Astyanax mexicanus: one gene and its partner. The protein of the gene in region 1 purifies or fractionates together with the protein of each later gene. This does not show direct contact. Links are inferred from orthologs where the notes say so. Each region holds a gene or a part of one and is shown on either strand. Other genes may lie near its edges.

What was found. The genes of interacting proteins can lie anywhere in the genome.
Region 2: the proteins of shc1 (region 1) and ap2a1 purify together in Homo sapiens (affinity purification with mass spectrometry; 4 studies listed by BioGRID and IntAct, counting the BioPlex papers as one, with this or other methods). This does not show direct contact. The link is inferred for Astyanax mexicanus from reciprocal best matches to the Homo sapiens genes SHC1 and AP2A1.

The regions. Positions count from the first base shown.
Region 1 is NC_064413.1:2,311,847-2,319,580, reverse strand, and holds the start of shc1 (SHC-transforming protein 1), read left to right. Parts: upstream 1-4,670; 5' UTR 4,671-7,734. UniProt on the Homo sapiens protein: Signaling adapter that couples activated growth factor receptors to signaling pathways. Participates in a signaling cascade initiated by activated KIT and KITLG/SCF.
Region 2 is NC_064426.1:20,247,349-20,255,001, forward strand, and holds the start of ap2a1 (AP-2 complex subunit alpha-2), read right to left. Parts: upstream 3,110-7,653; 5' UTR 2,233-3,109; coding exon 2,166-2,232; intron 1-2,165. Other genes in the region: prmt1 (protein arginine N-methyltransferase 1), read left to right, coding at 6,003-6,071, 7,240-7,335, 7,450-7,605.

The DNA of each region.
Region 1 (7,734 bases):
TAAACTTGTAAGCCAATGTATTGCATAACAAGCAAAATATGGTTTTGCCCTAATATGCACATATAGCTAAAAAAAAAAAAAAAACACTTAAAAATGATGAGTTTCTTTGATTTTACCAAATTGAAAACCTCTGGAATATAATCAAGAGGAAGATGGATGGTCACAAGCCATAAAGTGCAGGCATAAAGTAGAATAAAGAGAAATAACTGTGATTAAAAACCAACCAGGGTTATTCCGCCACATATTAATTTCTGAATTCTTAAAACGTCTATATGAATATGAACTTGTTTTCTTTGTATTATTTAAGGTATGAAAGCTCTGCGTCTTTTTTGTTTTTGTTATTTGAGCCGTTTCTCATTTCCTATAAATAAATGCTCAAAATGACTATTTTTTTCCTGAATTTGGGAGAAATGTTGTCTGTAGTTTATAGAATAAAACAGCAATGTTAATTTTACTCAAACATAAACCTATAAATTGCAAAATCAAAGAAACTGATTCAGAAACTGAAGTGGTTTCTTATTTTTTTCCAGAGCTGTATATCTAGGAATATGTTAAGTAGAAATGTCTGAAATAGGGGCGAGAGGCGAGCCAGCAGAAAGCCTTATCCAGCAGAGAGCAAATGGATATATATTTTTTTTTAATGCACGTCAGCACAATAGAGGCGTCTCTGAAGCTCCTCTGCAGATCGCACATGTTACGTTTCTGTGGGGAGCTGAGAATGTAGGTCGTGGTGGACTGCAATTTATCATAAAGTGTGGCTCTCAGCTCCTCTGAGTCACTTCCTGTTAGAGTTGGGTTAGTTGAGCCGTTGCGTACGCGCCGTGGCCTGAGCGCTATTAGATTACACCACAGTAAACATCAGCCTCCATGCCCAGACTAACACTCCTGCATGCACCACCGGGTGGAGGGCGAGTCGTCTGAAGCGTCGCCACATGGATGCATCCGTGCGTATCCTCAGTACCCCTCTCGTTTTTTATTCTTTCTGATCTTCTGCTTTTGTAGCTCCTCTGGTTTTCGGTCTGAACTCTTGTCTGACTGTGGTTTGACGGGATGGTCTTCTGCTTTGGTGTGGGTTCCTCTGATCTTGTTCAGATTTGGACAGAAACTTTGCTTGATACTTGTTCTTTCTTTCTTTCGTTTATTCTTTCATATCAGTTTTAAAACAAAAAAAAAACTTTTGTTTAAAGAATGTCATCAAAACGAAGGCTGAAGACTGAAGGCATTTTTCAACAAGAAAATGACGGACTGTTCTGCATTTTTATTTTTTATTTATTTATTTTTTTGTTCTGGGAGCTACAATTCATGCAGCAGAATTTTTATTCTTTTCAGTGGAAATCTATCCCAACTACATCCTTCATCAAGTCTCTCAACCATGGTTCACACATCTGGTAACTTTTTAAAAAGTGAATTCAGGCAGCTGAAGAATATAATTGTCATGTTTCTTGCATGAAACATCATTGATTGCACTGTTCCTCAGCTTCAGTGCTCCTTTAAAGGGTTTGTAAGTGAGTTGCACTTTTTTCACACCTGCCCTTTTACCTCGAATCTTTACTTTCAAACAGTTTGTGCAGATAGTAAAGTTTGTGAAAGGATAGTAAGCTAATACAGATTGTGAGAAGCCATGCTGAATGCTTTGTTTTTAGAAGAGCGTAAAAATGAACTTAAACTTGCCATTTGTGGAGTGTGTGGCTGAAGAAAGGAAACACTTAAATGTGATTTTATATTAATGAGTCATTTTTCTGTACGAGATATTTAGTCTTTTTTTTTTTTTTTTTGGCTTTTATGGCTGAATAATTTTGGTTGCCAAATAGTCAGTGCATCCATACATTGTGTCTTGAATGTTATCGTTTCTCTAAAGCTAATAAACGATAGTGTTTTTTTCTCTCTCTCTCTCTCCCTCTCTCTCTCTCTCTCTTTCTCTCTTTGTCTCTCTATCTGTCTTTCTGTCTCTTTCTCTTTTGGTATCTCTCTCTTTCTCTCTCTCTCTTTCTGTCTCCCTGTCTCTCTCATGGTCTCTCTCTCTCCGTCTTTTTTTTTCTCTGTCTCTCTTTCTCTTTGTGTCTCTTTTTTCTCTTCTCTGTTCAGTTCAGTTCAGCATTGCTTTATTGGCATGAATGTAACAATCAACACTATTGCCAAAGCATAAAACAGAAAAACAAACAAACAAAAACATAATTAATAATAATGAATTAAAATAAAGATTACATACATACAATTACAACAACAGAACTTATTATTATTTACTCTGTCTCTCTCTTTCTCTCATTCTCTCTCTTTCTTTCTCTCTCTCTGTCTCTTTTGTCGCTATGTCTCTTTCTCTGTTTTTCTCTCTTTCTCTGTTTGTCCCTTTCTCTTTTTTTTCTCTCTCTTTCCCTGTCTCTCTCTCTCTCTCTCTTGCTGCAGACGGTGATACAGCTGCGTTTAGTCTCTCAGTTTTTTCTCTTTTTTTCTCTCGGCGCTCCTGACTGACGTTTCAGCGCTCCTCAGTGACCGGGTAACACACTCGAATGAAACCTGACATGATGTCCCTGTTCCCCCAGCCGGCAGTCATGTGCACGTTCCCCCATCCTCCCTGGAAAAAAACTACTCTCCCCTAGTGCACTCTGGGAATTGTAGTTTGCAGCAGCTTTGTTGTCACTGCTTCCGATATTCAGGTCACTTATCTGAGCGGACTGCCGCCGGCGTCTGGAGAATCTAACGGCCGGCGCGTGCAGCCGTTATCATCCCAGCGCCGCCTGCCTGTTCCTGTAGGAGCTCCACGACGGTGTGGGGGAACATATCCACCGTTTAACCTTGGAATTGTTTCCTTGGAATTGTTCTGTCTGTGTGCCGGAAGAGGAGGTCACAGCAGGTTAGAGGAAAGAAACAGAAAGAAGGAAATGCAAAAATTAGAGGAAGGAAAGAGGAATTAACTCATCCCATACAAGCCTTCCTCTGTCCCTACAGCTCTTTGGTTACCAGTGGAGGGTGGTTCACCTGCTTCCCCAGCATCCGTCAGTTCAGTCCTTCCATTCAGTCATCAGCGGCAGCATCCGTCTACTTTCAGTTTTTACAAAAAACACTCTTTTTTCCAATTCAGTAAAATAAAGAGTGGTTCAAAATATCCAGTGACGCATTAAACATTTCCCCTTATCTAAACCCACAACTCAAATACGCAACTGAAATAACTACCAGGAGTGGGAATCGTAGGGTATCTCACGATACATTAAATTAGCAAATACTCACAGTAACTATAAATTTATTGGCCCCAATATCACATAACCAATATTGACAACCAATATAAAACAAAGTACATAGCTAAGCTTGCTCGTGTCCCTTTAACACACATACAGTAACTGCAACTCCTCCAAGTGTGTCTCTTATTATTCTAATGTTAATGTTATTATTCTAATTCCAATGTGTGTGTGTATATATATATATATATATATAATAGATGAATTTTCATGAATAAAAAAAACATTGAGTTTTTGTACATTTCCCTCTCAGTCCAATTTTCACAAAAATTACTCAAATAAAATGCAAACTGTCTTTTGATCACAACATGGGTCAGATCCAAAGTAATATATATACATTCTATCAATATTTACATCTCATTTGAAGATATTTTAAAAGAGTTACATCTGTTACATCTGCCATTTGCGAATTTCTCCTATATATGGTTTGTAGTTTTATATAAAAATGTACTGCAAAATCTAAAAAAGTCTAAGGCTCTAAAATTTAAGATGTGAAAATGCAGTAAAACATGCACTGAATCTAGAGCCTCATCAATAGAAAGCACAAATGGAGAGCAAGATAATAATCGTGATTAATCAACTTACTGAAAGTTGATTAGTCTAAAATTCGACTAATAAAATAGTTATTTGCATCCCTAAAGCTAATGCTAATTTCCATGTTTTATTCCATGTTTATTAATGTTACGCAATATCAGAAATTAGCATCAACCCACAATATATCACACATCAGTGCATCCCCAGCTAACGTACTGTTAATGTACATGCTAGGTACAGCAGGGTACTCTTTTATAATTTGATAGAAACAGCTGTGCTATTAACTCATTTTTACCTTTAGCAATTAATAGTTGATGCATAATTCTCCTGCATAGTTCAGCCCCAACATAAATGCGTAAATGCATGAATGACTGATGCCTGCGAGGAGACAGCCAGCCAGCGAGGGAGGGAGCGAGGGAGGGGGAGCAGCAGAGGCAGGGAGGTGGAAACAGGAATCAGCAGCACCATCAACGTCTGAACGTGCACAGGGAGAGAGAGAGAGAGAGAGGGAGCGAGGGAAAAAGAGAAAGAGAGAGAGAGGGCGCTAGACAAGGAGGCGAAGAGAGCAGAGGACAGTTGGCTGCAGCGCTCACTCCCCAAATGCAGACGGAGGTGGGAAAAAGAGGAGGATGAGAGAGAGCGCGGGGGACGGAGAAGAGAACAAAGGCAGATCGCCCGGCCGATCCTTCGTTCCAGTCTTCAGGAGAGGAGAGAGGGAAGGACGGGATCCGCGTGCGGACGAGAGAGGAAGCAGAGCCCGGCTATGACTTTGTAATTTATTTATTTATTTTCCGGTAACGAGAGGAAGCAAGTCAATGAATGAAAGCAAGACCACGTTGTTCCTCTCTGAGGGAGGAGACTGACTGAGCGAACGAGAGAACAAGGGAAAGGTAGATGAAGAGAGATAGAGAGAGAAAGATGGAGCAAGACGACAAATATGACCACTGACAAAAAACTGCACCATTGAAGGATAGGAACATGAACGTGGACGATATTTGTTCCCGACACGTTGCTGAAGATAATCATGCAAGCTTTTTATATTTGATTCTTTTTGATTGACAGACTGAAAGATTGAACCTTTCGCAGCAGGAGCGAAAATCCAGATGTCAAAAATTGTTTACTTTAGATTACATTTTCTTTTCTGTAGTGTATGTGTGAGTGTGTGAGTGTGAGAGTGTGAGAGTGTGTATGCATAGCCTACTGGTTACTTAAACACTCAATCGTATATATGCAGTCAATAATCAGGTTCCTTGTATGCAAAACTTTGTGCGTTAAGTTAATGAACTCGATTGGCAAAGAGACTTTCTCTTTTCTCTTTGGAAACTCCAGTAGGTCGAGTGCTCTTGGCAGGCAGTCCTTTTTGTAAATGTTCTGTTTTTTGTCCGGAAGCGTAGCCTTGAGCAATACTTGATTTCCTCCGGACTGGTGCGCTGGCTGACGGTGCTTTGTGTAAGAGCCAGCCTTGGACAGCGATGCTATCTGATGCACTCTGCGTGGAGATGTCAGCATTGATTAGCTTTATGGCCGTGGAGACGACAGCCAAACTTTGCTGTCTCATGGCAGCGTGTTCATCAGACTATTGATCCCCCGCAGGACTCCCGCCGAGCCTTCTTTATTCTGCAGCCGGAGTCAGAGTCCCTCTCCAAAGTCTGCTTCGATTGGCCAACAGTAAAGAGAGAGAGAGGACAGGTTTTGTGTTGGTGGGCTCGCCTTTTGTTTGGGTTTCCGTCAAAGATTTTGTCTGGCAGGATTCTGCTCTCCAGTCTATTGCCATGGCAACAACCTGGCTACCGCGAAGTTCTTCTTCTTTGTTTCGTATCTTGCCGTGAAGCGAACTTTCGAGGTCGCTCAAGCTCGCGCGACTTGGGTAAGATCTGTTCCTTCGAGCAAGCTAAGCCAGGATTCTTGGTGCTCTTTTTCTTCTATTTCTCTCTTCTCTTGTCTCACTCTTGTCTAATGTTTGTGTGTACTTTTTCAGTACAATCTGTACAGTTTGCTAGATCATGTTGCATCACTGGCAATGACTAAAGGACTAAATCGACAAGTCATCATTCAATCATTCAGGATTTACACTGGTTTACTTTCTCATAAACTAATCTAAGCGTCTAATCTTGTTTCGTCACAGAAAGTAAAAAGTAGTGCACTACTTTGTCTCATATTGTCGCATTCAGGTTCTTTGACATGTACGTGTGAAAAAAAAAATATATATATATTGTGTATTACCGTTTGCGTGTACATGTACATGTAAAGTTGTGTGTTTTGTGTGTTTGAGTAAAATTGTGTGGTAGTAACTCAGGTTTTGCCTCCACCAAGGGATGGCCAGCCATACTGTGCAATTTTTCATCTGCACTAATTCCTTAAGACTAACTAAAACCTGGCTGATGATTAACCGATTAATCAATTAACCAACTAACATCACCTGAAGCGGACCTGTAAGCCGTAATCGTGAGTGTCCTGCAGAAGTTTCCGTCCTCGTCTTTTACGTCTTTCGTGTAATTCTGGAAAAGTTTTTCACTTGCATACTTTCTACAGACACTTGTTACCTCTTATTTTCCAGCGTCCTACACTGGGATTGACAGTACATCGTGTCTACAGTCAAATGGCAGCGGCTCATTCGTTCAATCCTGGAACAGACTGTCCTATTCCAACAGGGATTCTGCCATACTCTTGACGAACAGGTGCTACATCTGAGCTGCCTTGGTTTGACTCCATCCGAGGCTCGGTTCGCTGTACTGTTACTAAATAAATGTTCTTTGTAAAGTTCTCGTTGGGTTTTCTACTCCCTTTGCACTGTTTCTTCCCGAACACTGTGCTCCACGTGTGCCATGAAGCGTTGGTCACAACACCGAGAGCTTGTTTGTTGCAAACGTTGGATTGCAAACAAACATTTGAATGCAGTTTGATTGCAAATGCACCTGTCCTTTTTTTCCTGAGTGGATAGTGTGGATGGTGTACGTGCAAGTGCGGTACAGCTCGCACAGTAGAACTACGCCAGTGATTCATACTCTGTGCCATGTCCTTGTAACCACTGGTGCATTTGACCTATTGCACTTACCGGACCTCTTTGGAGCTGCACTGAAAAGACACTACTACTTATATCGCAGCTGTTAAACTTTTACACTTTAACATAGCAGCGTTGGGAAACCTTTGTCTTGGAGCAAAGCTCCCAGCAAGGATCTTATTAGAGTAAGTAAGTAAGGAGTCCTGCAGTGGCCGTGATTGCCAATCTGACTGCTCGTCACGTCTTTTAGGACTTTGCTAATGGGTTTTGCTCTACCCGACTATAGCAATTGGTGCTGTTTAGAACAATCTGATTAACATCTCGTCAGTTTATCTGATGATTAAAGCAGCTGCTCACACGTCTACGCTGACGGAAGACAAATATGCAGCGGAAGCCTCTGAGGATGAGAGCCTAATGAGCGAGGCTAGACTACTGCCAGCAGTAGCTCGGGCTGAGAAGTGTGCATACTGTTAGAACAGAAAGTGCTTTGGAGATTAAGGTAACAGATGTAGTGGGATTAGATTGCGATGAATTCTTGTGCTAAGACTGTTCTGCTCGAGTCCGTTCCAGACTGTTTAGAAGCGTCAGCTTTTAAAGACTGTCGCTTTTCTGGCTTGAAGCTTTGTTAGGACTCGAGGACTCAAGGACTTGAGGACCCGGCTAGGTCAAGCTGCTTTCAGGGTAGCTTTTCTCTCAGGAAACAGATTTCATATGATGGTACTATTCCGCAGCTCCTAGGTGTCACTTAAGGTAATGAGGGAGTGATTGATTTTCCAGTCAGCCTCTAATGAGCCCCTCTTCTCCGAGATCTCTGAGGGCGGAACGTCAGACAGAGCCAATCAGGTCTCATTATCATTAGGCTGACAAGCTGGTGTTTGTCATTCTCGGGGGAACTCCGCCTTTATAGGGGTTGGCGGTTTATCACTCTGAAACATTATTATCGCACATGACACTACTGAACACTAC
Region 2 (7,653 bases), on another chromosome or scaffold:
ACGTACACACAGTTGTCATGGCTCCTTTTGGTGAGGACAGATTATGGACACTTGTGAACTTGCTGTGTTTATCTTCTGTTTCTGAGATGCAAACCTCTTTGTTTTGTTGAAAAGGGTCTACACAGCTTTGAAAAAGGTAGAAGATCCTTTACAAGACACTTCACAGCAAGCAGAGCTTTTAATCTCATATCACTTATAAAAAACATAAGTTTAAAAAAAAAACATTAAAAAACATAGCAAGCACATCCAGTAACAATGCAAGTGGAACAAATATTGGGCTAAATAAACTACCTTTACCCACCAGCCCACAAGAAAAAACTGGCTTTGACCAAAACCAGTTGACTACAACATTAGCAACTGTAAGTAAAAAAAGACTGGTCTCTGTAACACTCAATCCCATAGGAAGTGCCTGTAGTTTTATCATACAAACACAGCTGATCTAGATTGGTTTGGCTTTGTAGTAGAGGCAGACAAGCCTTTGCAAAAAGGTGGAAGATTATTTCATGACATACTCCACACTAAGGAGGGTCTTTTATATAATTTCAGATATCATCCCAAGAACACCTAAAGCAATGTATGTGGAAACACTCATGAAGCAATGTCTCCTCCTCACCTGTTCATACCACAACTAGACAAGGGATGGAGCAAAACTATTCCACTAAATTACAACACTAAATAGTCAAAATAAAATGCATGGCTATATTTGGCCAAGACCAAGAACAGCCTGTGAAGATAACTATGATCATCTCCAGCTTCTAAGGCAAAAAACTGGTTTTGTTAAAGTAGCCTTCCAGGATGTACTTCACGGTCCACACTGTGCAAGGCCTTGCATGTCATATCAGATATCATATCAAAAACATCCACAGAAATGTTGGTGGAACACACTTGAAGCAACGAACTCCCTCACCTGCCCATCCCAAAAGAGAGACTTGGGTTGGACTAAACCCAATCTCCACTACAGGAGTGACTGGCTGACTGACTTCTTTGGGCATGGCTTCTTTAGGCAAAGACAGATTACTAACAGATTGTGAGCTTGCTACGTGTAACTTCTAGGTCTGAAGCAAAAACTGGTGTTTGTCTAGAGGCCTAGCTGACTAGCTACATAACATTACCCCTGCAAAGTGTGGAAGATAATTTTCAGGATGTAACTTTCTAGCTAGCTTGTTTGCCTATTCCACACCAAGCAGGGCATTCAAATATCATATCAAGCACGTCCAAAGCAGTGTAGGTAGAACTCTCGTGGAGCAATGACCCCTTGTTACACGCTCATCCCAAAATCAGATCAGGGTTAAACCTAAACCATTACGCTAAATTAAAACACTATGAAACTTCATAATAACGCATGGCTACTTTTGGATTATAAACAGCTTATGAAGTTGCTATGTTTGTATCCTGCCTCCAAAAGAAGCCTACGTGCCTCTGCAAACTGTGGAGGATCATTTCCAGGATGTACTCCACACTGAGCAGGGCCTTTCATGTCATATCAGACAACATATCAAGAACATCCATTGCAATGTTGGTGGAACCCACATGAAGCGACCCCCCCCCCCCCCCCTTACCTGCCCATCCCACAAGAGAGACTTGGGTTAGACAAGACCCGGTCTCCACTACAAGACTGACTGACTGACCTCTTTAGGCTTGGCTTATTTAGGCAAAGACAAATTAATAACAGATGCTACGTGTAACTGTTGGATCTCTAGAGGAATCTGGGGTTTATCGTAGAGGCCTAACTACGTTACCTACATGTCTCTGCAAACTGTGGAAGATCATTTCCAGGATGTAGCTAGCTAGTTAGCCTAATCCACAGTGAGCAGGGCCTTCAAATATCATATATCATATCAAGCACATCCAAAGCAGTGTAACCTGAGTGGACGCACACTAAATCAACGACCTCTCCTTAGCTAGGTTAACTCGTTAGCTTTCCAGATAGCTACTTTAGACTTAACTAGCTCACCTAGATAGCGCTAGCTAGTTAGCTAGCTTATCTACACATCCTACAAGGGAGACCCGCGTTGGACCAAAACCAGCTCCCTAACCTTCACCATTAGCTAACTATTTAACAGCTGTAAATTATCCTTATGCTTCGTTTTTTTTAAGCATAAACACCCTCTATATTAGCTATAGGCCTATAAACAGTCACTCTTAATAGTATAAATGGCACTTACAGTTTCTTATGTCCGATATGAAGACCGCTAATCCTCGCATTCCGTCTCCTTTCGACACAGCCGGCATCTTTGCAGGATTTTGTTGTTTCTTCTCACCTTACACGAAAAATAAACCACTTTTTGTCGACCTACGACGGTTTAGCTCACCTCGCTTTCCACAAAATACGCTCGTTTCGTAGCACAGCACCACTGAGCTACCTAACTAGCTAGAGCTATGTTAGCCGAGAAGCTAGCTAAAGCTAACGTTAACTAACCCGTACTCTGGCGCTTTTGATGGATGTTTAATGTGCTAGAGAGTTAGCCACCTAGCTAACGATAGCTGCTAACACAGTTGTGTGAAAGCTGAAATAACCAGACCTGAAAGTCAAAGTGTCTACAACCTATCTCTCTTTCTGCCTGTGTGCTTCTTTATTCAAAATATGTATCTGTCAATTCATAAGCGAGAAACCCGCTGCGCTCCGACCGCCGCCGTTTAAATTCATTCAAACCCAACAGTCCAAAATTTAACTACTGGCCCAAACGACGACAGGACTGAGTCACTTGGTGTGTAAAACCAAATTTACAGCGGGTCGTTTTCCTATAACACACTGTAGATGAGTGGATGTCCTACACAACATAAACAGCCACCGGGAGAGGGAGGAAAGCGATTAAAAAATAAAATATTTGATCTCCTTTCTGCTCGCTGTGAGTCACGGCACGGCGAGCTAGCGGACCAGCTAGCTGGCAGGCTAGCGCTATCAAACGTTAGAATACATCACCCGGAATGACCAGCGCGGTCGGAGACGGTCAAACCTAACGTTTTTTTCGGCGAACAATCTTATATTTAGCTGGAAAAACACAAATATGTAGTCTAGAATTCGGTTCGAGGTCGTCGGTTTCGTGCCTGCCGCGCCAGGTCGGTGTTCACGGACGAGGCTCGTGACAGAACGAACGAATAGCGATGTCCGACTCGGGAAAGAATCGGTTCATTTGCAAATAAATCCATTGAACCGAATCAGAGTGAATTAATCCTTACTGTGGCAGCCTATATAATGTTTACTTTAGTGTTCAAAACTAAGTTATCATTATGTTAGAAGTATATTTATACTTTTATTTAGTTTCTTGCACTCAGTGATACTCGTAGGTTCCAGAACCACGATTCTCATCAAGAAGAAGAGACGAAGATGCATGATAAATAAATAAAGACAATATTATATTGTGTTGTTGTTGTTATTCATTGCATGCATAAGGAAATTAAATACATGTTGTCTGCTCCCTGGTTTATTAATCGTGCACAGCATGCACTAGAAAAAAACACTGTGTTTTTTTCCACACAGTAAAATTGTGGTAAAAAAATGTGTGTTGTATATGATGCAATTTGTTTAAAACTATTAAAATCTACATGTAATTGCATTACTTAATTATTTTATGTTTATAACGTGTACTTTTTAAATATCTGCAACTTCTCAGTTTTTTTATTTTATTTTATTTTATTATTATTTAGATTATCTATTATTTTATTATTTATTAATACATTATTTGCAATCTTATTTTATCTATGTGTACGAATATCGTTTTATGATTCATGCAGCTGTATTTTGATTTTTGCCACAATGTAAACAAAAAAAGCAAGCTAATAATTGCGGGACCTCTCCCACCCTAAAAACGAGAATGAGTCACTGAATCGGGCAATTCGAAAGAATCGGTTCGGTAAACTGAATCAAAGTTCGTCTACACTCCAGCAGTATCAGTAGTAAAGGATTCTAGTGCTTCCTCTCGAGAAGCTCCGCCCCCCTGCTACCACAGCACACGCTGATTGGCTGGTAATAGTTTGTAATGCCGTTATGAAAACATTAATAGCTCGTTTAAATTGAATCTGGATCAGTAAAACTTGCTTTGTTTCTACATTAAATATATTTATTTTATATATGATATAATCAAATAGTCTAGCGGAAAATAAGCGTATTTGAGTTATTTGATATGGTTCAAATGAAAGGAACCATCTCTAAGAGCTCATTTACAGAAAGTTAACGGATTTTGGTATGCTGTCTGATGTCTGACACACTGGTTTACCACAGTTTTGATCATAGATTTGTCAATATTATATAAAAAAAATAGATTTTTAGCATGTTATCCTTGAACATCTGTTTTTCTGGCTCTCTGGGAACATTAACCTCAGTGTACTGCACACTGCAATAAACCATCCTGACGTACTGTGCCACCACACCGTGGACTTTATTATGGAAGATTAATGTCACTTGCTATGAAGTATCATAAATATGATCATTACGCAATACCCACTGCCCTGTGTGGAAAGTCAATTGCTCCCTTTGCTGTATACTTTACACCATCCTCAACACCAATCATTGCAACTACACTCTATCTGACATCATTGATCAGCTTTTTACTCTGCGATGGAGGGAGATAGCTGCTTATTTCAGGCCCTGTCACAGTAACTGCAATGCAGTGCTGTCATTTTACAACAATATCAAATCAATATCAATAGCACAATAAAATATTTAATGCAGTATTACAGTAGAAACACAAACAACCATTTTTAGTAACTGAGTAACTGTCTCTATTGTCCAGGGATGGCTTATTCTATTGGCAAAACTTTTCTACAGGGACTAGATAAGCTGTGTGTGTACTTTTCTCTTTTTGTTCCAGCAATGGGTGCAACTTAAAGTAATTGAATGCATTAATTAGAGAAGATGTTTACAAAAAGTGAATACGTAGTTTTGTGAGTTTTGTAAGTTAAAAAGCACTTATATACATGTCAGTGATAAACGTTATATGCTGCTACTGCCTGTGTAAAAAACGATGAATCATCTAACAATTAGGAATTTACACAAAAGGAATATTTCTTTTTAGATTTACTCAAGAGCGCCCTCTAGCGTTTTCCAAGGGTGCGTCCCAATTGCGAACTGCATAATAATAATATAGGTATGTACTATATACTGGTCCTAATAGTGTGAGTTTTGCAGGTTAGCACACAAAAATATTAATAAATAAACCCGTTTTTACTGGCAGTGAAGTCATAAGGCACTTTTTAAAAATAATTTATGTTTTTCCTTTTTTGGCAGATTTTTTAGTATACTCAACTTTTATCTATACTACACACTAAATACCCCAAAACTAGTTACTACTAGTAGGTACGCAATTGGAACACAACTCATGTCTTACTGGCCAGAATGGACACAAATATTAGGGAAAGTATTATTTGCCTTTTTTTTGTTCATTCTAATCAAAATTATACAATTTTTTTTATCAAATGATAAGCAATAATTACAACCCATGACTAGATCAAAACATTTGAAAAGAATTCATATTAATTGATTGATAGTGAAATTAAGTTTACATACAAAATAAGTTCATCTGGCATGATTATGTCAGACATAGTACTGCTGCTACTGTATGATATTGAATGTATAAACTGACTGTATCTATTATTAATATCCTTCCAAAAAACAAGGCACGTTCAAATGAGAATAAAAGCTATCGGGGGTGGGGCAACATGAAAGCTGTCCAATCACAACTCTTCAGTGGATTTAAAACCTGGACTGGTCAGGATTTACATGAAAAGCGAAAATACTGCAGGAACTGGGGCTGGAATCGCAAACAATCCCGAATCACGGCGTTGATGGCTTCACACTGAGCCAATAGCGACAGGGTTTATCAGAAAGGGCGTTACAATGGGTGGGGTCACGTTACAGCGGCCCAATTACCGATATGATGACTGGATTTAGAGCCAATGGGGACTGGATTTAGAGGAAAAGGCGTAGTTTGGGAGGTACTTCATCGCAGCAGTCCAATCAGAGAGCCGGAGTATGTGGGCGGGAGTCTAAAGGGGAGCGTTTAATGTTCCGCGCTGCAGCTGCGAGTCCAAAACTTGTCGGCGAAATGGCGGAGACGACGGACAGGATGGAGGTGAGCTGGAGCCGCGTAACAAAGACGGGCAGGGGGAGACCGCGGTTCATGTGGGAGAAATCCCAGCGCGCTTAGGGGCCGTGTTTGTTCGGTAGAGGCTGTGTGGCGGAGCCGCTGACCCGCTTATTTCGCTAATTAGCTCGTTGCGTAGTGACCTGAGCTCTCGGTAATGTGCGTATAGGAGCATCCATTTTAGCAGCACATCGCTCCCCATTCATTTCCACTAACACGTGGTTGCTAATCTGCTAACACACAGTACCGCCGTGGGGTTATGGCGTCTGTTAAACATTCCGTTTGTTTTATCTACTGCTCCGTTTGTATTTATTAATGAATCACTATTCTGTCTATAGTTATTTAGCTAGGTTAGCTGTGCTGCTAATAGAGAACGCATGGGATTGGCTAGCTGGGTATCTACCTAGGTTAGCATGTTAGCCAACTTAGCTAGTTAGCTTAGATCGGGTAGCTAACGCCGCCGCCTCGTTGTTTCTACATGTGTTAACCAAAGTGATATTAGAAGTTGGAGCTTTTTTTGGTTAGTTTTGAAGTAGTAAAGCTTATCTACTGAGATTTAGCCACTGACCATAACTAGTAACCTTTTTTAGCTATAGAAGCTAAAGGTGGCCTCTCGCGAATTCCCCGGTCCACCTTAAATGGCACCGCAGCTGCTACAGATGGAGCTAGCGGCGCCAGAATGTAACTTCTGTACTTTTTAAGGTGGAACTGAGAATTTAAATTTTAAGGACATATTTTTTATCTACATGGCCTTACCCCTTTACTGTAAAAGGTACAAAAATGATTTCTTAGGATCGTTTCCCTTTCAGAGGCTCGAGTACAGTACGGTTTATTGTAGGACCAGGCCTCATTTATTTTACATACCACGTGTGCTGGTCTGTTAGTGATAAAAGCCTTTGTCTGCCCCCCTTTTTCCTGTGAACTTCTCCAGTCCGCCACCCATTGTGGGGTGTTAAATTTAAGAATTTAAGTGTGTTTTTTTTTTTTTTTTTAAGTTTTGATTCCATTTAAAATTATTTTGGGGGCCTTAAGTGTTCTTTTATGTTCTTTTTATCTTGCGAAATTCCACAAAAACACAATTTACTTAAAACTCCAGGCTGAAACTCTTTTGGCTTTTGTTTTAAATGTAGTATTTATTTAATCCTTTGTTCTCCAGGTGTCCCAGGGAGAGAGCTCAGAGAAGCCTGCGGCTGAAGACATGACGTCCAAGGACTACTACTTTGATTCCTATGCTCACTTTGGCATCCACGAGGTTGGTACTCTTGTTGTTATACCCCTGTATTCAATACTGTACAGTATTTAATAGTTTAGACTTAATTTCCTACCTTACGACCTGTTTTCTAATGCTTTTATTTGGTGTTTACAGGAGATGCTTAAAGATGAAGTGCGAACTCTCACATACAGAAACTCCATGTTTCACAACAAGCATCTGTTCAAAGATAAGGTGGTGTTGGATGTGGGCAGTGGAACTGGCATCCTGTGTATGTTTGCAGCTAAGGCTGGTGCCAAGAAGGTTATTGGGGTAAGTAGACATTCTTGTTGTGCAAGTCAATAATGTAACATAATTAGA